3 linked regions of the Astyanax mexicanus genome follow. The protein of the gene in region 2 interacts with the protein of the main gene of each other region in a pairwise test. Links are inferred from orthologs where the notes say so. Each region holds a gene or a part of one and is shown on either strand. Other genes may lie near its edges.

Region 1 (7,812 bases), on a different chromosome or scaffold from region 2:
ATTTAAAATCCTTTAATGTTCCCAAAAATCAACAGTGGGCCTTATAATCTGGTGCACCTAATGTATAATTTTTACCAGTCAGGTTGTACTGTACTGTAAAGTACTGCTTTATAAAGGAGTTTCAGTGAAGTTTCTCCAGCACCAAGACTGGAGCAGTATTAGCATTAGCCACTAACTACAGTGCTATCTCTTTCGCCATTCAGAGGTGAGAATAACGGACTGTAGCCTGCGTGATTAGCGTTTCTAAACAAGCTACGTGGGAGAAACCACTAACTGATAGCACCCTGGCTTACTAAAACACTCGGTGTTCCTCAGTGTAGCGCTATCAGGTGGAATTTACTAGCACTAAGCGCTGCTGCTAACCGCGCTGTTGAAAATATTGGAACATATCTAACCTTACTGTAAATAAATGGAAGTGCTTTATTCACCCAAATAAATAGTTGTCAGGAGAGAAATCTGTGTAGATTAACGTGGCAACACCCTTGTTCCTTATTATTGTGACATAAAATGCGCCTTATAATACGGTGTGCCATGTAGTCCTTAAAATTCTTCTCTGCAAGATCCAACCGGTGAACTGTGTTTACAGACTGTGATTTCTGGAAGTGTTCCTGAGCTCTTGCTGTGATGATGGTATTTACTGTAGATGATGTGATATCCAAAGTCTTCACAAATTTGGGATTTTAAGAAACGTTTTTCTGAAATTGTTCCTCCATATTTAAAAAAAAAAATAGATTTTTTTTAAGGCACAGATGCTCATCTTTGCATTTAAGGGACTCTGCCTCTCCAAAATTCTCTTTAATAAAAAAAATGACGTAGTGTAATTGCATATACAGTATAATTGCATAATTACTAATTAATTAAATTTCTGCAATTTTTGAGTGTAAGAAATACGAAACCTGGCTATTCACAGCTAATAATCATGCCAGCAAGGACAATAGGGTTTATATAAAACTACTGGATGTCTGCCAGTCGAGCAGTTATTACTTATCATATCAGTCAACATCTGGTTTAAATTCATACCTCCTCCATCCACCAACCTCCAGACACCACCATTCACTGTTTCTCCCCCCACCTCTCTCTCTCTCTCTCTCTCTCTCCCCACAATAGTCTTCCCCACATGGTGCTGTTTATATGGTGAGTTATCAAATTTTAAAGAGCGTGTTTCTGTGCATATTTCTGTATGTATGTGTCAGAGGATAATAATGCAGCTTCTACAATCTGGTGTGTGTGTGTGTGTGTGTGTGTTCACTTTTTACTGTCAGTCTTACATTAGAAATATTAGAGGATGAGCTGACCCGAACCTCCTCCAGACCATAAATCTTATCTCTTCTCCTCCTCCTCCTTCATCTCCCCCCTCCCTCAGGACCTGAAGCCCACCGGAGAGGCGGACGTGTATAAGGAATTAGACAGGTGAGAGATGATGTGTTCAGGTCACAGAAAGAGCACCACTGGTTCAGCCCCCACCAGTGCATTAATCACCACACTATATTAAAGGAGTACTTCATCTGTGTTCAGCTTTATCTCTGTCTGCTGTATCTGTCTTGTACCATCAGTTACCTCAAACAGTTATTGCAACATGTACATTTTGTGTACTTAGAAAAGAACAAAAAGCACATTGACTCAGTATTGACTTATTCAGGAAGTTGTAGGCTCTAGACTCAGGTCTGAATTTCAGTCATCACCAGTATCTCATGTTACAGCAGAATTGAGAGTATAATATACAATACCTGTAAAAGTTTGGTCGCACATCTTCTTATTTAATGTATTTCTTTCTTTTTGTGGTTTTTTTTTTTTTTTTTTTTTACATACACAAAAAGTGTTAAACAAGTGTAAAACCAGAATATGTTTTATACTTAAGCAGTAATACACAAGACGGAGTTCTATGATGTGTAATATTGGCACTGCTGTGCTGCGGTTGTAGATCAGCGCAGCAGTGCCGATATCACACAGCATAGCACAAACCTTCAATGTATTATAGCGATTATACCACAGTTATATTATTGATAGTTACTGTTTATTGAAAGATTTTGAGTTAAAAAGGACGAGAAAATACGATCTTTTCGGTTATAAACACTCAAGCAAGTTAAAATAGTTCCATTGCTGCTCTGTTTGTAGTTGCGCTGTTTGGCTTGTATGCGCTGCATCGTTGCTGGCTTACCTGTATGTGACCTGTGGTAATACATGGAGAGCTTGGGTTGCAGTCCATTACAGGGCTGATAATGGCACTCACTCACAGAATGTCTCTCAGCCAATCACTCTAATAATTTATTTTTTCTTGCCATGAGCATTCTATCCAACGTATAGACTTATATACAATATAGGCTTTGGTGTGGGCATTTCCAAGCCATCCCCTGATGTATGTAACAAATAAGTTGCACACTGCTATCCCTTGATTTTTGGTATGTCAGTGTGACTAATAATAATAATAATACTATTTATGAGTTTTTGATGAAGTAATTTGTGTTATTAACAATATTAATATATTTTACTGTTATTTAATTATTTTTTGGTTCCACTTGATTTAGAGAACCTCCTGTAGATTCTTTTCTAGGGTTTAGATTATTAATATATTGATTAGGACCAGGGTAAGGCCTAATGTTTTGAGTGTTATTTAAGATCCTGCATTTGTTTGGCTCCTCGTTTGGGTATGTGTTTACCAAGATCAGATAGGTGACAGGCTAAGTCCAATATATGTTAGCAATGTTAACCTAGCAAATCCTGTTCTAAACAAACGAAGCACACATCAGACATGTCTTTGCTGATCGACTGTATGTGGGGTCAGACATCAATCAATCATGTTACTTTTGATTTTTACCAGACTAATTCTTTAAAGCCTTCTGGTAACTATGGAAACCATATGGAGACACATTACCAGAAATGTTTCCCTCAGGGATAAATTTACACAGATTATATTACATATAACGGATTATATTACATATAACTGCTGTTGGCACGCTGCCAAAAGTATCAGTTTGTCTTCTATAATATTCATATTTTCTGAGACACCGATTTTTGGGTTTTCATTGGCTGTAAGCCATAATCAACAATAAAAGAAATAAACGCTTAAAAAATAGATCAGTCTGTGTTTAGTATATCCACATAGTATATGAGTTTTACATTTTCAACTGGGACAAAATTGTGTAAAGAAATAAAAAAAAAATCTTCAGTCACATAAAAGTGAAATGTTTAAATCAAAGAAAAAAACAGGGAAAGCCACAAAAAAATATTACATTTTTATATAATATTGCTATATTATCTCATTTTGTGCATGTGTGTCTTTTCATTCCAGATACGACCCGTGCTGTGGATAAGTTTTCTCAAGTGGATGATGAACTCAAATTAATGTATAAGTAATGTTGGCAGGCAGTAATATCTGTTGAAATAAAAACCTGTAAATAATGATGTCTCTGATGATAAGTGTATGCACTATTTAAATCATTATTCTGAATTTTAACTGTATTGTACATCATGTCATCTGTAATAGACATCTGATATAGATCTATGTCCCACAGTGGACTGGTCACATTACTTTGGTCAATCATGCAGTTCCACTCGGGGCCTTATAAATAACAAACAAACAAACGGAAATACAGTAAATGCTGTAAATCAGTGCTGTCATACACAAACCTGTGTGCGTAACTTTTTGTCTTCAGTTTTGTTTTTGTTATTAAAGGCAATAATTCTGTATAAGAAATATTTGTAAAGTATTTATAAAATACATTTGAAAAAAATTAATTAAAGTAATGCATTTGCGTTATACTTAAAAATAATAATAATAAAAAAATAATAATAAAAATATATATATATATTTATTATTATTTTTTTAAGTATAACGCAAATGCATTACTTTAATTAAAAATTTTCAAATGTATTTTATAAATACTTTACAAATATATATATATTTTTATTTTTATTTTCTTTTTTTTTTCTAATGCATTTCACACATATAGTGATTCATGCACATATATTAATTTCTGCCTACAAACATTTGACAAATAAGTTGAAATACGAAGAATAAAAGAGATAACTATTGTGAAAACACCTCAAAGTTATTTTAAAGATAATAAAATGTCTAAAATAACTTTTAAGCATCTAAAAAAATTATCTTAAAATAATGAGAATTTTTCCAAAGAGAAGGCTTCTTAAAAGCAAATAAGCATCATTGCATTATTGCACTGCCACTTATCTGCATCTGCACTTATCTGCATCCTTAATGTGTGTGTGTGTGTGTTTGACTTTTTTCAAAATTATGAAACTATTATTGCCTCAAATATTGCAATTTGTGTATGTACTAGATTTTTTTTTACATTAAAAGCATTAAAAGCATAAATGATCAAACTGCAGTGTTTGTAGCTCAAAAAAGGTGATCACTAGTTTGAAATGTTGCTGAACGCTTAATTTTCCATGTTTTTCAAATGGGGAATATTAATAATAATAATGAAAGACTTAGATTATAATGCATAAGCATTATAATGTGTTAAAAAACAATTTATGCAGCTATCACCTTAAATATTGCACATTGCTTATGTAGTGGATTAATTAATTTTTTTTTACATTTAAAATAACTTTTTAAAAAACATTGTTTGTCCTTATATAAAATTGTCAGAAATAAGATGTTAATTTTTTACAGATGTTTAAACAGGAGTTTAATAAGGTATAGCCTCTTACCACCTGCAGTATTTGTGCATATATATTAATATATAGCATATATAACTGTAGAATTGAATAGAATTTAATGTACACATCACAGTTTTATATTTACAGTTTTGAATGTTTTGAATTAGCTCAGTTCACCCACTCCGGCTTCCGTAGCCGTCGACCGAGGAAGGATGGCCGGCTGGTTGTGGTTCCGCTGCCTGTTCGGGCCCAGCCTGCACCGGATCCACCGCCCGCTCGAGCAGCCCCGACCTGAGGGAAGAGCCGGGAGGCGGGTACGAGCTGATCCCCTTCTTAACAGCCCGCAAAACGGGCTAAAACTCGGGGTTTGGGCTCGTTAAGAGCCGCTAGGGAAGTGCAGGGCTTTGAGTTGACAGGCTAACCTTAGCTAGCACTGTAGTTAGCTAACTAGCTAATGTCAGTCTGTCAGAATAACTGTAAATGTACACAAATTAATCACTGAAATTAGGTTTTGAGAGTCTTAACTATCAGTTAGGATTATAAAAGGGAAATCTGAGACCTCTCTGATAGCTGTAGTTTATGTTTTAGATAGATTTTCAGCATATTCCCAAGTCTTATTTTTAATCTCGCGTTCCACCTTAAATGCTCCTGCTGTAGCGTTATCATCCTGAGGCGCCAGAATGTAACAAGAGTGCCATTTAAGGTGGAACGGATAGTTCGAGTAATAGGGGAAAGTGGCTGTTTTGCTGTTTTTATTCTGTGCATTAAAATCACTGTCACCTTTACAGGGTTGGGATTATCAGCCGAAAACTTTGGAAAGACACACAGACAGTATCCTCGGTTGGGTAAGTCCTTTCTTACTTACTCTTAAAATCTTAAAGCTTTACCCTCCATGGCTTTAATTGTATTTTTTGAAAGATTGAGAGCCCCTGTGGATATATACAATTAATATAACCAAAATGTTTGTTTTGACTTTTAATAATCTTTTTTTAACTTTTGATAATATTGTTTTGACTTTTGATAATTGGATGTTTTAGAGCAAGGAAGCATAAAACACTGTTTATTAAGTTTACAACAAGAATCTAGTAAGACTATAAGCTGCCATATATATATATATATATATATATATATATATATATATATATATATATATATATATATATATATATATGACCCACTTGTACATCTCATTGTGTTAGATGTAGACATGCCATGTAACATTATATAAAAAAAAAAATAAATAAAACAAAAGCATAAAATTAAAGTACAGTATGGTGTAATAACCAAACTATACTGGTTTCTTTTGGTATATTGGGACTAGGGGTGGGCGATATGGCTCTAAATTAATATCACAATATTTCATGGTATTTTCACGATAACAGTACTTTTGGCGATATGACAAAACATTGAATTAGAAAAAATATTTAGAATTGTATTATTGCATGCAATATGGTATGGCTAACTGAGATATTAAAAATAAAAAAAAATCACATTTGTAACAATGTCATAATACTAGTAAGGCACTTTGAATATCTTCATATATCCAGGATTTAAGTAAAATAAATTATACTAGACAGATATAATCTGTCTCTAGTAGATATATAATGGGAAATGAGAACAGTGTGAATTTTTCTTTTGCTAAAAATGGCAAAAAAGTAGTACTCTGACGCGATAATTTGGGGGTAAGTGATATGGCATGATATTTCAGGGTATAATATCGTTGACGATATTTAAAATTTTTTGGCAATATTATCACGTACGATACGATATGGCACACCCCTAATTAGTACAGTCATGAAAGAGCTGAAAAACTCATGGAATTTCAAAATAGAAATTTTCAGGCCTGGATATGTTTCGGAATGTGTTTTGGAATGTATGTTTAAAATGTAAGAAGTAAAAGAGTTCACATAATTGTGTGAGGAGTAGAAGTAGAAGTAAAAAGTCGTCTAAAGAATAATTACTCCAGTAAAGCATAGATAACCAACATTTCTACTTAAGTAAGGTAATTAACTGTTTTTACTTGGTTAATTGATACCTCTGTTCAATTCTGATATGATTTCAGATCAGATTTGTTTATTAAAAATGTTCCAAAATTAACAGTGTGCTTCTATCACTTATATGTTAATGTTTTTTTTTTTTGTCCCTTCAGGCCTCAGCACTGTGGTCCCTGTCTTATTACAGCTCTCCTCTCATCCTCTGCTATCTGTACAGGAAAGGTAAACACTACTAACAGCTACTAGTATAGCAGTAATCCAGCTCAAGTTAACAAGCTAGTTAATATAGGCTAGGCTAATATAGCTAACAACTAGAAGTGAGCAACGTGATGATGATGATACTAAGGCTGCTACTGAGGCTTATTTTAGTAGGCGACAAATCTACCAATTATTGTTTCGATTCGTTAATTAGTCATAATTATTTTTGCCATGCGCTACATTGTGGTTCGTAGTCTGGAGGATTATGTTCCAATGCATGTTTTACAGCATCTTTACAGCTAAACCTTTTGAGTCCTAGACAGATTTTGCAGGACATAGTAATAGTTTATGAGGAACCCTTACTGTTCCAGTTACCCAGGGTGATATTAGCTAGGGGTTTGTACCATGTAGCTTGTTTTAACCTGGTAAACACGCAGGCTACAGTCCGATATACTCAACTCTGAACGGCGAAAGAGCTAGCGCTTAATGAGCAAGTTCTTAGGCTAATGCTGCTCCAGCAGTGTTTACCGGGGTTAGCAGCAGGCTACAGGCTGAGAATACTGACCCCTGAATGGTGAAAGAGCTACTGCTTAGCGTGGTTAGCGGCTAATGCTAATACTGCTCCAGTCTCGGTGCTGGAGAAACTTCACTGAAACTCCTGTGAAACATTGTACTTCTGCAGAGTGGCTTTACTGCTCCTTTTAACCTGACTGGATTTAAAGGCGCACTGACGATTTTTGAGAAAATTAAAGGATTTTAAGTGCGCCTTATAGTGCAAAAAATACAGTAATTTCTTATATTGTGAGGAAGTTATTGTAGTTATTTTACTAACGGGGATATGTAAGTCCGTAAAATATTGTCCTTTAATTATTTAGATATTATTTCTTTATGTATAACAATTTACTTATTGTATTATTAATAATTGTCTTTGCACTGCCTGTGTAATGCAATATCTTGGTGAATCATGTGATCATCCTCTCCGATATCTGTTCTGCTATCAGTC
Region 2 (7,506 bases):
CAGAAATGCATGTGTACAGTGTGTCCTTAAGTGGTGGCTCAAAGTGTGATTTACACACATTGACTGTAGGGGGAGCACAAGAGCGAAAAATAAAATATATAAAATGCTGTTTTTATTATATATGTTTAACTACCCACTAATCATTTAATACTGTTCTGATTATTTTTTTATCGATTGACACTATAATGATATTTCATCCTGCTGTTCGCTAAATGTATAATGTATTAAATATGTATTTATTATTTACAGGAAGGTTGGCTGCTTCTATGGATATTCCTCTAACTCTGGGTAATACTGTTTATACCATTATCATTAACTGCTGTATGGTTGATCATTAACAACATTAGATCAAATGTATTTTTGCAAAGAATTTCAATTAAATGTTAATTAATACAAAAAAAAAAAAAAAATATATATATATATATATATATATATATATATATATATATATATATATATATATATATACATAATATAATTTTTTTTCATTCTCTCATTCTTAGCTGGTGATGATTTTGATCAGAAGGGACTGACTCCAGCTGGACGTGAGTTTAATACACTCTGATCAGAAAAATGTGTATATTTCTTGCTGGTCTTAATAATATTTAATAAATATGTTTTTATTAATTACTGGAAGATTTGCTGCTTCTATGGATATTCCTCTAACTCTGGGTAATATTGATTATTGTATTATTATCAGCTGCTGTTCAGTTCAACATTTCAACATCTCTGCCCTTGTCTTCACTGCTCCTATTTGCAGCCCCGCCCCCTCGTTACCTGTTCCTGGTGTTTCCTGTTTCCTGTCTACTTCTGTGTGAATATAGCCTCTGTGTTTCTGTGTTTCCTTGTTGGTTCTTGTGCATTTGACGTCTGTTCAATTTGCTAATAAGTCATTATAAATATATATTATATATATATATATTTTTTTTTTTCCATTCTCTTCTTTTTAGCTGGTGATTATGAAGGTCAGAACAGACTGATTCCAGCTAGACGTGAGTTTATAAGATCATAACGAGAACATTCACTAAACACAAACTAAGTACAACCTGATCTTTAAAATATTCATGATTAAATATGTATTTATTCATTACAGGAAGATTTGCTGCTTCTAAGGATATTCCTCTAACTCTGGGTAATATTGATTATCTCATTATTATCAGCTGCTGTACAGTTTAACATTCCGTAACTCCAATAATCAATATTAGTCTCATGTTCTCGTCCTGTTCCGTGTCCTCCCCTTCTGTCTCCATGTTTTTCTCGCCATGTGCTCTTTAGCACATGGCTCTCTGTTTTTTTTTCCTTGTCTCCGCCCTTGTCTTCAGTTCTTCCAATTGCTAGCTCTGCCCCCTTGTTACCTGTCCCTGGTGTTTCCTGTTTCCTGTCTACTTCTGTGTGAATATAGCCTCTGTGTTTCTGTGTTTCCTTGTTGGTTCTTGTGCATTTTACGTCTGTTTAATTTGCTAATAAGTCATTATAAATATATATATATATATTTATTTATTTTTTTTCCATTCTCTTCTTTTTAGCTGGTGATTATGAAGGTCAGAACAGACTGATTCCAGCTAGACGTGAGTTTATAAGATCATAACGAGAACATTCACTAAACACAAACTAAGTACAACCTGATCTTTAAAATATTTATGATTAAATATGTATTTATTCATTACAGGAAGATTTGCTGCTTCTAAGGATATTCCTCTAACTCTGGGTAATTTTGATTATTTCATGATTATGTGCTGAAAATTTCTTCACTTACTAACATCAATAATCAATATTCTTTTTATTTTATAAAAATATTATTTTAGCAGGATTAAGAATGCCTGGGCCAAAGCAATTAATAAGGAATAATCCGGTACACCCTGTGAGGCTCCAGTTAATACAGCTTAAAATATCATTTATCTATTTGTTTCCAAATATATAATTTATTTTTTAATGTAATAGCAAAAATCTTGACCAGAAATGCATGTGTACAGCGTATCCTTTAGTGGTGGCTTAAAGCACGAATTACACATCTTGACTGTAGGGGGAGCTCAAGAGCAAGAATTATTAATTCCACATAATGATGTGTTAATATAAGATAACAATATATTTAATTATAAAGAATTCATATTGAATGAAATTATTTAATAAATTAAACATTTTTTTCAGCTAATGTTTGTGGTGAGGATGATGAAGGTCAGAATAGATTGACTGCAGGACTGAGCCCAGCTGGACGTGAGTTCATAACCTGATCATGAAGAGTCTTAAAGAACTCTGTTCACTAAATTAGAAATTAATTTAATTTGAGATATTTTTAATTTTTAATTACAGGAAAATTGGCTGCTTCAATGGATATTCCTTTGACCTTGGGTAAGGTTGAGTATTTCACTCTATTTCAGCTGCTAATAACAGTTTATCATTTACTGTAATTAACTATATTAATATATATATTAAAATTGTTTGTTATGTACTTAATAATACAGGTAGTGGATAAATGGTATCTCAATAAAATGAGAGTAATGCAGAAAATACATTTTATAAATGTATATATTTATATTTTAAATATATATTATATATATTACATATATTTATCACATTTTTTCATTTTCAGCAGAGACAGCTGAATCTTTTGACCAGTGAAGAATCAGAAATTTGCAGTGGACACAATCACCTGCAAAAATGTTCTGGTTGTCATAATTTTTTTGGCAAAAATACGACATTTGTGTGTTTCTTTGGTTGATTTCTAAATAACCCTCCGTTTGTATTTTGTATTTTGTATTAAAACTTATGTAAAACAGTAGATTTTCTACACGTTGTCGGAGTTTAAACTGTGTACTGTAATAATTAAATATTTAATATTGAATATTGTTATTTTTTATTGAAACTGTTTTTTTATATGATGTGTTTTTATGTGTATATATTTGTTTTGCATTTACTTGATCTGAGATTAGATTTTCAGCTTTATTTTAAGAGCATTGGGTCAACAACTTTACTTGGTAACTGTTACAGTCTGGTCAAATGCAGTATAAACCAGAGAAACAAACTGATCGCTTAAAATGTTTACTTTTTTGTCTGCTTTGTATATTTCTGTATTTTTTATAAAATGTAAGAAATCCTGGTAATACAATGAATTAAAATATATATTTAAATAACATTTTTTGTTTGTCTTTGGGTAATGTCCCTTTCATATATTTTTTATTTGCACAATAAAGTATAATTTTATGCATATTGCTTTAAAAGAAATAATTGACATACAGAGACAATCAATATATTTGACGTGTATTTTCATATGAAGTTTATGAAAAAAATTACTTGCTGTAAGAATTAATCTACAATGTAGAAAATAAATAACTAGATGAGACTTTTATTTAGAGTAAATCATACTTCAAAGTGCATTTCTTTAAAATATACTTTTAAATAGTACATTTTAATTATTTATTATTTTATTATGTACACCTTTAATCGCGTATACTTTAGTATTAAAACAGAATTTTATTAATTATAAAGTATAATTTCATGCATATTGCTTAAAAATACATTTTTTTAAATACAGAGAAAATATATGTAACGCGTATTTTCATATGAGGTTTATAAAATAGAAAATGTACTTTTAGTGTGTTTTACCTAATTTGAACATACTTTTAGGGATATTAAGTATCATCTTAAACTGTCAAACATTTTTGTGTTTCCTGAAAAATCTACAATGTAGAAAATAAATTAAATTAAGAAATAAAGAAAACTTTTATTTAGAAGACTTTTATTTAGTCTCAATCACACTTTAAAGTACATTTCCTTAAAAATATACTTGTAAATAATACATTTTAACTATGTAATGTTACATTAAGCACACTGTTTAGAAGATCATATATTTTCTATCAACACACTAAATATAATTTAATGCATATTGCCTAAAAGTGCATTTTATGGAAATACAGAGAAAATATATTTAACATGTATTTTCATATGTTTATTTCATAAGTTTATGAAATAGAAAATTTACTTTTAGTGTTCTTTACATAATTTGAACCTACGTTTAGTGTTATTTTTAGCATCCTCTTATGCTTTTGTTTGCAAAAAAAAAAAAAAAAAGTTTATTATTTTAGGAATGTGGCAAAATTCACCTACAATGTAGAAAATACATTTAAAAAAAGAAATTAAGAAAAACACTGAATTTAAGTACACTTTTAATTGCGTACAATTTTTATATTTTGTATTTTTAAACATTTATAATTATGTTTAGAAGTATACATATTTTCTATCAACAGACTAAATTATAATTTAATGCATATTGCTTAAAAAATACATTTATAGTATTCCGTTAAACTCTTAAAGTTTTTGTGTTTCATAAAAAAATTATATTTTTTTAAATATATAAATTAAATAAATGTATTAAGTAAAACACTAAATGGGAAAGTGTGTGTACAGGCCTAGAGAGACTTTTAGGAGACTTTTATTCTATCTCCTGAAGCGGGGGGACTTTTATTAGTGCGGGCTGGGTGGTGTAGGTGTGTTCAGGAGCAGCAGGCTGTCTGTCTGTCTGTGTGTGTCTGTGTGTTAGAGAAAGAGACAGGCAGAAGGAGGAGGAGGAGAGATGGCGGCGGCGGCGGAGCCCCGGAGCGGGGGAGAGGGACACCACCCCGGGGACGGAGACCGGGAGCGGGACGGGGACGGAGACCGGGCGGCCTTCGAGTGTAACATCTGCCTGGACACGGCGAGGGACGCGGTGATCAGCCTGTGCGGACATCTCTTCTGGTACCTCCAGACCTGCTTATTACTATTATTTTATTATATTAATACATTTATACCTGATTAAAACACGTGCAGTGGCTTTAATCAATAATAATCTAACTGAATAATATGATATATCTGCAGTTTACTGTAAGAAATGAGAGAAAAAGCATTAGGATTAACGAAGGGTCCATTAGGATCCTGTGCTAAATAACTATATACACTGGGAATACAGCACAGTACTAACTAGTTAAATACCTTTACTAACCAACAAACCACAATCACATTAAATAAATATATCATTTAAAACCTTTAATAATGGTTTATGTTGCTGTCTGCTGAAGATACAACAATATGAACATAGTATAACCATACCATATAACCATACTACCATACAGCTCTGGAAAAAAAGAAAGAAATCACTTAAAAATTATGAAATTCTTTGATTTTACCAAATTGAAAACCTCTGGAATATACTCAAGAGGAAGATGGATGATCACAAGCCATCAAACCACCAAACTGAACTGCTTTAATTTTTGCACCAGGAGTAAAGCAGCATAAAGTTTTCCAAAAGCAGTGTGTAAGACTGGTGGAGGAGAACATGATGCCAAGATGCATAAAACAACTGTGATTAAAAAACAGGGTTATTCCACCAAATATTGATTTCTTAACTCTCAAAACTTTATGAATATGAACTTGTTTTCTTAGCATTATTTGAGCTCTGAAAGCTCTGCATCTTTTTTCTTATTTTAGACATCTCTCATTTTCTGCAAATAAATGCTCAGAGCTGTACTATAACACTATTCCTGTAGTATACATAATTCCAATATTGTGGCAGTTACATTTATAGCTAAAATGTGTATATAAATAAGCACTATACCAATAAGTATTACTATGATAGTATATCATATGTATTCTTGCAATAGGAAGTACTATACATATTTAACTTTGAATCAATGTAAAATCAATGCGACATCAGAAATTAATGTTGTTTCAATGCATTTGCGATGGAAAATTTGATTTCGATCTCATTGATTTTATGTTGACTCAACACTGATTCAATGTAAAATCAATGTGCACAAATAAGTTATAGGCTACGATATGCTATAATCATAAGTATTATTCCTAATTTAGTATACCTAAGATTTGGTAGTTACATTTGTATATATGTATTCAAATGGACACCATAGCTGGAAATATAACACCTGTAGAAAAATAGCTACATCTTTTCTATATTAAACATAGTACTATATAATACACCTGTAACAATCACTTCTTTACAACATTAATAAAATGCTTAACTAAGATTATAAACACTTTCGAGCTTATTTTACGTAGACATTGTAAAAAACTCAAGCAACTGTTAATGTTAAATGTTATTATAACTATCCTAAACCATCCTAATAACAGGTGTAATGTTATAAACACTGGAAAAACATCACAGATACCATGCATCCAGGCCTTTACTCAACAGTTATACAACATTACAGTTCTGAATAATGCTGAATACTGGCCTAAATTTGATTTTAGATACTGAATATTGAGAATTAAATTCAACTTTATTCTAAATACTCAGTAAAAATGAACAATAAGTGCTTTGAATTGTGAAATCTGTGTGTGTTTGTTCCTCATTATCTTCTCTGAGTAGCTAATTTCTACCAAAACATTGTGATTATAGTTTGGAAAATGGGCGATTTACACTAATTTAAAACAATTTAGGCCAGTTTTCTTATAAATATGAGTGAATGAATATCGTGTAAAGTTGTATCTTCTCATTTTTGGGGTTATTTGTGTTTAATAATGTGTAGAATAATGTTTTTTGAGCAAACTTGTTGGATCTGTGCTGAAGCTGGAGTTAGCCTGTTAGCTTCTTAGCTTAGCTTAGCGGTTAGCATAATAGCTAGCTAGCTCACTGACTGAAATAGTAATATTTTATTCGTGTTTATGTCGATTTCATGTGTTTTATATCATTTATAAGTGCACTAGACTCGATGATCTGCTCCTTAGCTATTTATGTAGCTAAGTTAACTAGCTAGGCTTCTTTTCTGTCAGATATTATTAGCCAGCTGGACTAGCCAACCTAGCATCCTAACGTTAGCTAAGCTAAGCTAAGCTAGCCATGTTGTTGTTAAGCTGGGCTGTGTGGAGGACTTTGGAAGCAGGTTCAACGTGTATCCTGTAGCTTTAACGTTGTCTGAATGTGATTAATGAGATGATTTAACTTGGATTTGGCTACATTTTAGGGTGTAAAACCTTTTTAAAAAAAATTAACAACTTTTAGGCATTACTGCTTGTAAACATTAGCTAAACATTGGCTAAATATCGATCCAATGGCTTGATGTTGGAGATAAGTCCAGATAATGCTCCTTGAATATTTCACTTAGAGCAAAGAATGTTGAATAAACCTTAATTTTTGTTGTATTACATTCTTTAATGTTGATTAATGTAAAACATATCCAACGTAATGCAATAAAAAAAATTACATTTATTTAATGTTCTTTGCTCTGAGGGATATGGCCATGGAACATTATCAGGACTTATCTCCAACACCAAGCCAGGTGACCAATGTTTAGCCAATGATAACAAGCAGGGATCCCTAAAAATTATATTTTTATAGGTTTTAATATTGACTAATAGGCATTGGTTAATGTTAAATCTCTGACAGTGAATCAGCATTGATCTTTTAAAGGCTTGTAATCAGGGCTGGATGATGTGGTAAAAAATTTATGTCACAATTTCCTAATTTCGGTCAGTATGATACAATTCCAATATCAATATGCCCTTGGTGTACGTGATCAC
Region 3 (7,732 bases), on a different chromosome or scaffold from region 2:
GTGATAGCAAGTCATTCTGAAGTAAAATAAAATGCTAATTCTTTTTATTTATTAAATAAATAAAAAAATTTAAGGGGCATTTGTATTCATTTCCCTGTACTGTGGCATTAAATGTGGATGTAATTCCTGCTAATTTTTGTCTGTTTGCACAGATGCCACTGGTGTACAGTGGGTGATAAAGTCTTCTATAAAGTATTCTTAATAAACACAGGACAATGTGGATCGAGGACTGTTTAAAAATCCGTCTGGCTCCCACGCTCAGGTCAGGCGTTAGGTGTTCCCAAGCTGTTCTTCTGAGGTAACACAACATACTGCTATCCTATGACTTTTGGCATGTCAGTGTATACAGAAGGCTTGTATTGATAATACACATTAATATACTCCTAAAGAACTCCATACCTGCATTGTGTCAACATTGAAGAAAGACTGATAGTATTCAAACGTCCAGAAGCCCCCACTTTGTTTTTCACCTCCAAGCAACTGCAAGTAAAGAACAAAACAGGTGTTCAGACACAACATTAGTTCCTGTCAGAACAACTATTAAGAAGTATTAAATGTAGTAATTCTTGATTTCTGCAAAGACAAAGGAGAATAGGGCACATACAGAAAAGAGAAAAGATTATTATTATTCTGTAGTTAAATGAATTTGAGTTCAGCAGCCCTCTAAGCAAACACATATATACAAATTTTCACACTAGTTAATACTGGTCACAAGGTTCTATGTAGCAGTTACAGAATTTACATTTGCCTTATTAATGTGCCCTGTACCTGGCTGTAATGCAGCACCTTTAGTAAATAAGTAAACCAGCTCACAGTGAGATAAAGGCAGGTAAAGGGGGAACTAGAGCAGAAAACAGGTTTTATCTTGCCGAAGTTAAATAATAGTTCAGAACAAGGAAGTGACAAACTGTAAACCCCAAACACTGTTGTTCCTCCTTAAAAAGAAAATCCAGTTGAGCCAAAACCGAGATATGCATTGAACAAATTTCTGAACTGTTTCTTAACCTTAGAAAAGGGCTCGCCCAAAGGGCAGAGAGTTTAGAAATTAGGCTTAAAGGGTTAATTTTATCCCCACTTGCCAGGCTACAAATTTCTCAGCTTTGTAACCCCACAATGTGCCGAAAAGACACTGAAAGCACACAGAGATGATTGCAACATTTTCTGGTATGCCTGTTTGTGTTACAGTGCTAAAACAAAGCTATTCTACATGGCTCACTTGAGATGTCTCGGCGATGTAAACCAGCCAATTAGTGAAGGGTTCATCTTTTTTTAAGGGGCACCATAAGCCAAGGCTAAATTGTAAATTGATGAAAGATCCAATTTGAGCATTTTAGCCCTATATTACATTGCACCTTTTGGCATCCTTGGGCAAGACACTTGCAAGGCTTGCCTACTTGTGGAAAATATGTAATAAAAAAAATAATAATAAAAAAAAGAGAGAGTGTCTGCACCATGCTTTCCTGTAAATATGCATTAAGTTGATAAAAGCACCTCTGAGCTCTCCTGCTGATTCTCCTCATCATCTGACAGGTCCAGCTTAACATCCCCTGCAGGTGCAGTAGTGCTGGAGTTGGTGATACTGAGCGTGGAGGCACCGGGGTCAGCGGCCAGTAAATCTGTGGCCTCCTCGAATTCTGCATTGGTTTACAAAAGGTAAAAGAGTGAGGAAGGAGGAGACATGCAAGAACATCTGAACAGTTTACTTACTGAACAGAAGTACCAACCTTGAAATCTCAAATCGTCAGGACTCGCCATGGTAGATCACAGAAATGACTGAAGAAAAAAGAAACATATCACAAGAACACCAACAAGGTCACTATAAATGTTTCGGCATAAAAATCTAAATAATTTTTTAAATGTCAAACTATAAACACATTTATTAGTAAGACCGGTAGAACTACTGCATACAACTTTACTGGAGGCTCACAGACTGCTCAAAACATTTAACTTCTGAACAAATAAAAATGGCAATTATATTGTGAACTACACACAAATAAATATGTGCTGTTAAGTGGTCATCCAAGGCATATTATTGCATAATATATTGTTTTAGTATAATCATAACAGTGTGCACATGCACAATCGTCACATTGTATGTCACATGCAGTGTCATGTAAAGCAAATTAAACCATACAGGAGATGCTAGAACTTCCTTGGTACAAAAAATAAATAACTTAAACATAAAAAATAAAGTAATAAACGCCAATACATTTATTTTTTTTCCAATATTTGATACAGAGAGAACACTGTTAGTATCATAAGATGTTAAATCACTGATTTTAGGAAAAATCGATGTTTAATATCACAACATACAGTACATATCAAAACAATAACATACTGCAGTGTTATATTTTTTCTTATCATACTAAATGTGGTAGTTGTTCAAAATGAATGTGTTCAGCTACCAAATATCAGATGTTAGTTAATTACAGTACATGTTTAGCTTATCTTCTAATTTCTTTATCTAAATATTCTGTTCCAACTTAAAACAGTGTAACTGCTAAAGCACTTAAGGTGGAAAGGGTATATTAGTAGCTCACAGTTGTAACACTAACTAGCTGTTTAATTTGATAAGAAAAGCTACTGCCAAGCTCTGCGTGTTTAAGAACAGCTGAATCAACACACTGCAGACCCCAGTCAGGACCCGCAGCTGCTGCAGGTTTAAGGTGGAACTGACAGAAGGTGAGGAACAGGGGAAGGTAATGAGCTCGTGTCGGGGTGATGAAGCGGTTAGTCGGGTTAGTTGTGAGGCGGTTAGCCTCCTCTTACCAGCGGTCAGTCAGTGCTGCATCAGCTCTCCCACCATTAACGCTGCCTCTGCTCTTCACTAACGGTCACCAGGCTCCTCAGCAGTGACAGCGCTGCTGCCGGGACTCAGACAGCGCTACAGCCGCCGCCTCTGAACCGCCACGACCGGGTTAAAGTCGGGTACAAAACAACTCAGTTAATTCAGTGAAATCTCACGCAGCTGTGGGTTTATCCCGCCGTGCTCCACGTCACCCTCCCAGCGACAGAGTTCCTGCGTGTGTCAAAATAAGGTCACGTGACCGGAGCCAAGCCGGAACCTTAAAAAACAAATAATTAAATACCAAACGCGATTTTATTTTAAATCTAAGCATTTTAACTAGTTATTTAGCAGATTTAATAGTTAAATATTTTTTATAATATTTTTTTTTATATTGACTAAAATATAATAAATCTAATTATTGTACTTTTTTTTTTTACTAAAATAATCTTAAGTCGAATTATTAATAAAGCATGAAAACCACGGAAACGGCACATTGTGTATCTGTGGCAGATTACGACGGGTTTTAAGTTTTTAAAATGTTTTGTTCTGTGTTCAGAATCAGAAATCTGTAAGTTAACTGTTTTTGTAGCAGAGAGCTTATACAGAGGAGAATACCCACTTATTAATCTCTTCTGGATTTGACAGTCCACCAGAGGACGCTCGCGAGTAAATCGTATACATATACGCATATATATTAACACATAACTATATAAAATGTTTCAAGCTTTTAAACTTAATTTATAAGCCTTTTAAATGTGCTTTGACTAAATGTGCTTTGTAAATCCAGTGTTAGCACACCAATCAGTTAGCACACAGTAACAGTAATGCTAGCAAAAAGGAGATACAATCCTTTACACCTATACTTTAAAATCCATATCCCCTGATCGCAAAATTAAAACCTAATTTTTAAAAAAGGAAGAAAAAAACTGACAGAGAAAAATCAGAGTGGAACGTAAAAACCGTTGATATGGTCCCCCTATCGGACCACCAACTCCAAACCACGCCAGAGCTGGTTTAGAGCAAGCCTATCTACTTCCGCTCTCCTCCGTTATCAGAAAATAAGGGATAACCGCTAGAGGGAGCCTGCGAGTGAGCCATAAATAAAGGGAGGGGGGTTGAATGGTTAAAAACTCGGTAAAAACGATCATTAACTACGTGTCCAGGATATTGCTTAAATTTCGTAATTTCGTAATTTGAACAACAGATTTGGTAGCATCACTGCTACAGAAGTGCTGAAGTAACAGCCAGCACATGTTTTAAATGTTTCCAAGTGGACTTTAAAAGTTTGTATTTGGCATTAACATTTGATATGTTGAGGAACTAATCACATTTTTCGGTTTAAAAATTTAGCAAACATTTACAATCTGAACCTATTCATTTAGGACTCGGGAGCGCCCTCTGGTGGTCTGACATAAAGAGGTTTTAAAGTGGTCTACAGGTTCTTTGACCGAGCCTGCGCCATTTCGGCTCAGTGGTTTCGCCAGTGGGCGTGTTGTGTGGGGGGGCCGTGTGGAAACAGAGCCGGCGGTATCGGTTCCGGTTGAGTTGAGAGCACTGAGCCGCTGATCAGCGTGTGTTCGGACTGTCATGGCTGCCTCGTGTGTTTTCAGGAGGCTCTGCTCCACCGCAGCGGAGGCTCAGGGCAAGGGCAGCCGGTGGGAGAGGCTGAAGAGCGGCCGCGTGGGTGAGCGCTTTACCTACCGAGACATACAGATTAAATATACTCTTTATTATTAACCCGATCAGCAGCTGCTGATCTACTGCAGAACTGGAGAGGAGAAGCAGTCTACTGCCCGACAGTAGAATCAGTTAATTAATATATATAATAATAACATAATATAATTCAGTAGAAACTCTGATCCTTAATTTAATTTTATATTAATTATGCCCAAATGGTGAGAATAAACACATGTTTAACACTAACTGTAGGTCAAAACTGAAATATATGTTCTCCTCTTAACACAAACGCTCTTGCATCTCCATTACCAAGGTCTTTTAGGTTATTAGACACATGAAAGACACACTTCTTTCATTCTTTTTTTTACATTGTAAATTTAATATCGAAGATATATGGATAGATTAATAGATATTAACAAATTATTTTACTTGTAAATTTTAAAAGAAGTGGCACCTTACAGCTTATAGCACATTCAAAACCAGGAGAGAGGATCAGTAAGATGTATCAAAAATGCCATCTAATAAAATCAGGCAAAAAGATCCACTTAGTGTCACATCCTGCTCTTACTGAAGAACAATTGCAGAATATGGTATTCTATATCGGGTTTAATTCACTTTACTATCATTCCTGTTTAGTTTAATTCCACTGGGTCGAAAAAAGTCCAAACAATAGAAGACATTGTGTTAGTAGAAAAATACAACAGTAATGTAATGGAATGTAAAAATGAGATGTATGATTTTCAGCTATGGCTGACAGAAAGAAAATAACACATTTAATAATTAAGTTCACACTGAATTCTCAAACCCTCCACATCCACAGAGGGAGCTATTCACACTGCAGACTGTGCTTACATGACCTAACTAGACTAGAGGCAGAGTAGAGCTCCACTAGTGGTAGAGCACACACCAAACTACTACAAAATAAAATAAAAGTAACATTTTTAAAAACATTTAAAGAGCTAATTTATGTTCTTAATTTATTGTGTTCCACATTCATTTTGGGATACGGTGTCATCGTATGTTGCATTTATGTTCATATTGTGCACTGCTGCAGAAACTGCAGATATCTAGTAGAGTTTAGTAAAGGTTTTGCCCTCTACTCTACACTCTACTTTGGTAGGAGTATTAAAAGTAGACATGTTAATTAACCATTAAAAATCAATATTTTTGGTTTTCATATGTTTTGCTATTATAAAATCCTATTCCAGTAAAACCAGTTAAAATGTCCTTTTTGCAGGTGTGTGGTGCCGTAGTCTTTTGGGTGACTACAAGGAGGCCTGCCGGGAGGTGGTTGTTGGAGCACGGGAGCGTCCCTTTAAAGCCTCAGCTTACGCGGTCCTGCTGGGGGGGGCGTATTTCTGTTATCGAACAAATCCAGATGACACGTCCTTCCAGACTGATCTGCTAGAAACCTCCAATAAACTGGCCCTTCTGTCACCATGGATACGAAGCGGGATGTCAGATGGTCACGTGCAGAACCTGGTGAGGCTGCGTAATGAAGGTCGACTGCGCTACCTTAGTCTGGGCGTGGCCTCGGTGACCTACGTGGTGAGCTACGACCCTGAGAGCAGCCTGTACGAGGCTCAGTGCTCGGCTCTGTCTGTGCCCTGGGCAGAGCTGCCCGGGCGCATGCTGGACGTGGGCTTCGCTGGACGCTGGTGGGTACTGCACCAGAAGATGAAGGACTATGACATTAACGAGGAAGAGTTTAAGCATCTCTCTCCGGCTTTGGTGGCCACAGCTCCCCCTTCAGTGCAGGAGACTGAGAGGAATGAGAGACTGCACAGAGATTCGTTGAAGGCGCTGGTGATGGAGGTAGAGGAGGAAACGGCAGATGGTGCAGTGAGTGTACAGAAAGAGGGGGAGATCGTGGCGAAAGGATGAGAGAAAACTGTGTAAGAACAGATGCACCTAAGCGTTGATGTGCTTCACTAAAGGACGTGTGCTGGCATGGACATATGGACTGGAGGCATGTCACATATGATCAGATAAATCTGTGAGCAGCAGCCCGGAAGGGAAAGCGCATTTCTCTGGACATGGACTTCAGTTTATATAGTGTTGTTGGAATTCTGGGACAAAAAATGTCATGTATTGCTATACTGTATGTTAATACTTTAATCTTAAAACTAAAGGTGCTACAAAATTGTTATTCAAGGCTCAGCAAAATATTTTTTTTTTTTTTGACAAAACCTTGGTGAGGTGGTGTGTTGGTAGAGACGTGGGCCTGTTCCTTGCTACTAATTTGTGCATCTCCAGTGAGATTAACCATTTTTTGAAAATATATGAATGTAAAATATAAAGTAAAATGATTTGGTAAAGAACTTTAACCCTGATTTAACACTGGCAGGCCACAGAGCAGGCCACAACGTCATTTCTTATAGGAAGGTTTATGATTTTTTTTGTGTGTGTTTAAGTGTTTTTACCTGAGGGTCCCCAGATTCTGCTCTGTGAACATTTTGTTTCTCCAATATTTCATTCATATTCTGAGCAGAGCGGTTTTGAACATGACGGAGAGGCTCAGCACAGCTGATTCTTCTTTGCCCGTTTATATGATGCATTTTTGCACAAATACAGGGACAATTTGCAGAAAATTAAAGTGTTAATGAAAGTAGCAGATGAGCTTGCTACATTAGCCAGCATGCTAACCAGTCATGTTGATACAGGCCCTGATACACAGCCACACTTGACAGCACAAGCAGTCTTAAACACACTCACAAGAGACAAATTTGAGTGATGCGAGTGACCATAACTTATTCAAACCTAAATCAGCTTCTTTACACTCACATCTCTTGCAGAAATGTACATTAAAATCTTTATAGAACTAAAATGAACTAAATGTTTCTTCTATGGCATCACTTGAACCCTTTTGTAGCACCTTTTATTTTTTAGGAGTGCTGGTGAAATATGAAATGTTTGGCATAGTCTGTGAAGATGAACTGAATCAATAAACATTATTGTTATTTTGTAGTCACTGTCACTTTTGATTATGTAAGGCTGCATTCCATTTGAACTCCCATGTCAGAATTTTCTAGTTCCAAGACGGACTTCCAATTATCAAAATGATAAAAGCTCCACCAACCCTGAGTTAGGAATCCAAGATGGCTGCCCTGTACATCAGTAGAAGTAAAAGCAGTAATATATACTGCTTGTTGTCACTTCTATCTATCTGTCTCATTAAATAAGTTCTATACACAGTACTGCTCAAGTTTTATCTGTAGATCAAATTCCATGTTTAAATCTGCAAAATACTGCATAATGTATTAGGAT

Evidence for each region. The genes of interacting proteins can lie anywhere in the genome.
Region 1: the proteins of E3 ubiquitin-protein ligase RNF5 (region 2) and abhd16a interact in binary tests that used the Homo sapiens proteins (3 or more experiments, as listed by UniProt). The link is inferred for Astyanax mexicanus from reciprocal best matches to the Homo sapiens genes RNF5 and ABHD16A.
Region 3: the proteins of E3 ubiquitin-protein ligase RNF5 (region 2) and yipf2 interact in binary tests that used the Homo sapiens proteins (3 or more experiments, as listed by UniProt). The two-hybrid records come from large-scale screens. The link is inferred for Astyanax mexicanus from reciprocal best matches to the Homo sapiens genes RNF5 and YIPF2.

Annotation. Positions count from the first base shown.
Region 1 is NC_064413.1:5,136,954-5,144,765, reverse strand, and holds the start of abhd16a (phosphatidylserine lipase ABHD16A), read left to right. Parts: upstream 1-4,790; 5' UTR 4,791-4,829; coding exon 4,830-4,931; intron 4,932-5,405; coding exon 5,406-5,462; intron 5,463-6,766; coding exon 6,767-6,833; intron 6,834-7,812. Other genes in the region: g6fl (g6f-like), read left to right, coding at 1,108-1,134, 1,364-1,410, 3,290-3,311. UniProt on the Homo sapiens protein: Phosphatidylserine (PS) lipase that mediates the hydrolysis of phosphatidylserine to generate lysophosphatidylserine (LPS). LPS constitutes a class of signaling lipids that regulates immunological and neurological processes.
Region 2 is NW_026040044.1:3,464,953-3,472,458, forward strand, and holds the start of E3 ubiquitin-protein ligase RNF5, read left to right. Parts: upstream 1-4,487; 5' UTR 4,488-4,570; coding exon 4,571-4,731; intron 4,732-7,506. Other genes in the region: uncharacterized protein LOC125790051, read left to right, coding at 250-288, 504-545, 951-992, 1,094-1,132, 1,527-1,568, 1,670-1,740. UniProt on the Homo sapiens protein: Membrane-bound E3 ubiquitin-protein ligase that mediates ubiquitination of target proteins. May function together with E2 ubiquitin-conjugating enzymes UBE2D1/UBCH5A and UBE2D2/UBC4.
Region 3 is NC_064426.1:9,771,164-9,778,895, forward strand, and holds the start of yipf2 (protein YIPF2), read right to left. Parts: upstream 3,023-7,732; 5' UTR 2,770-3,022; intron 1,774-2,769; 5' UTR 1,756-1,773; coding exon 1,725-1,755; intron 1,635-1,724; coding exon 1,492-1,634; intron 481-1,491; coding exon 400-480; intron 1-399. Other genes in the region: timm29 (mitochondrial import inner membrane translocase subunit Tim29), read left to right, coding at 4,376-4,472, 5,703-6,349.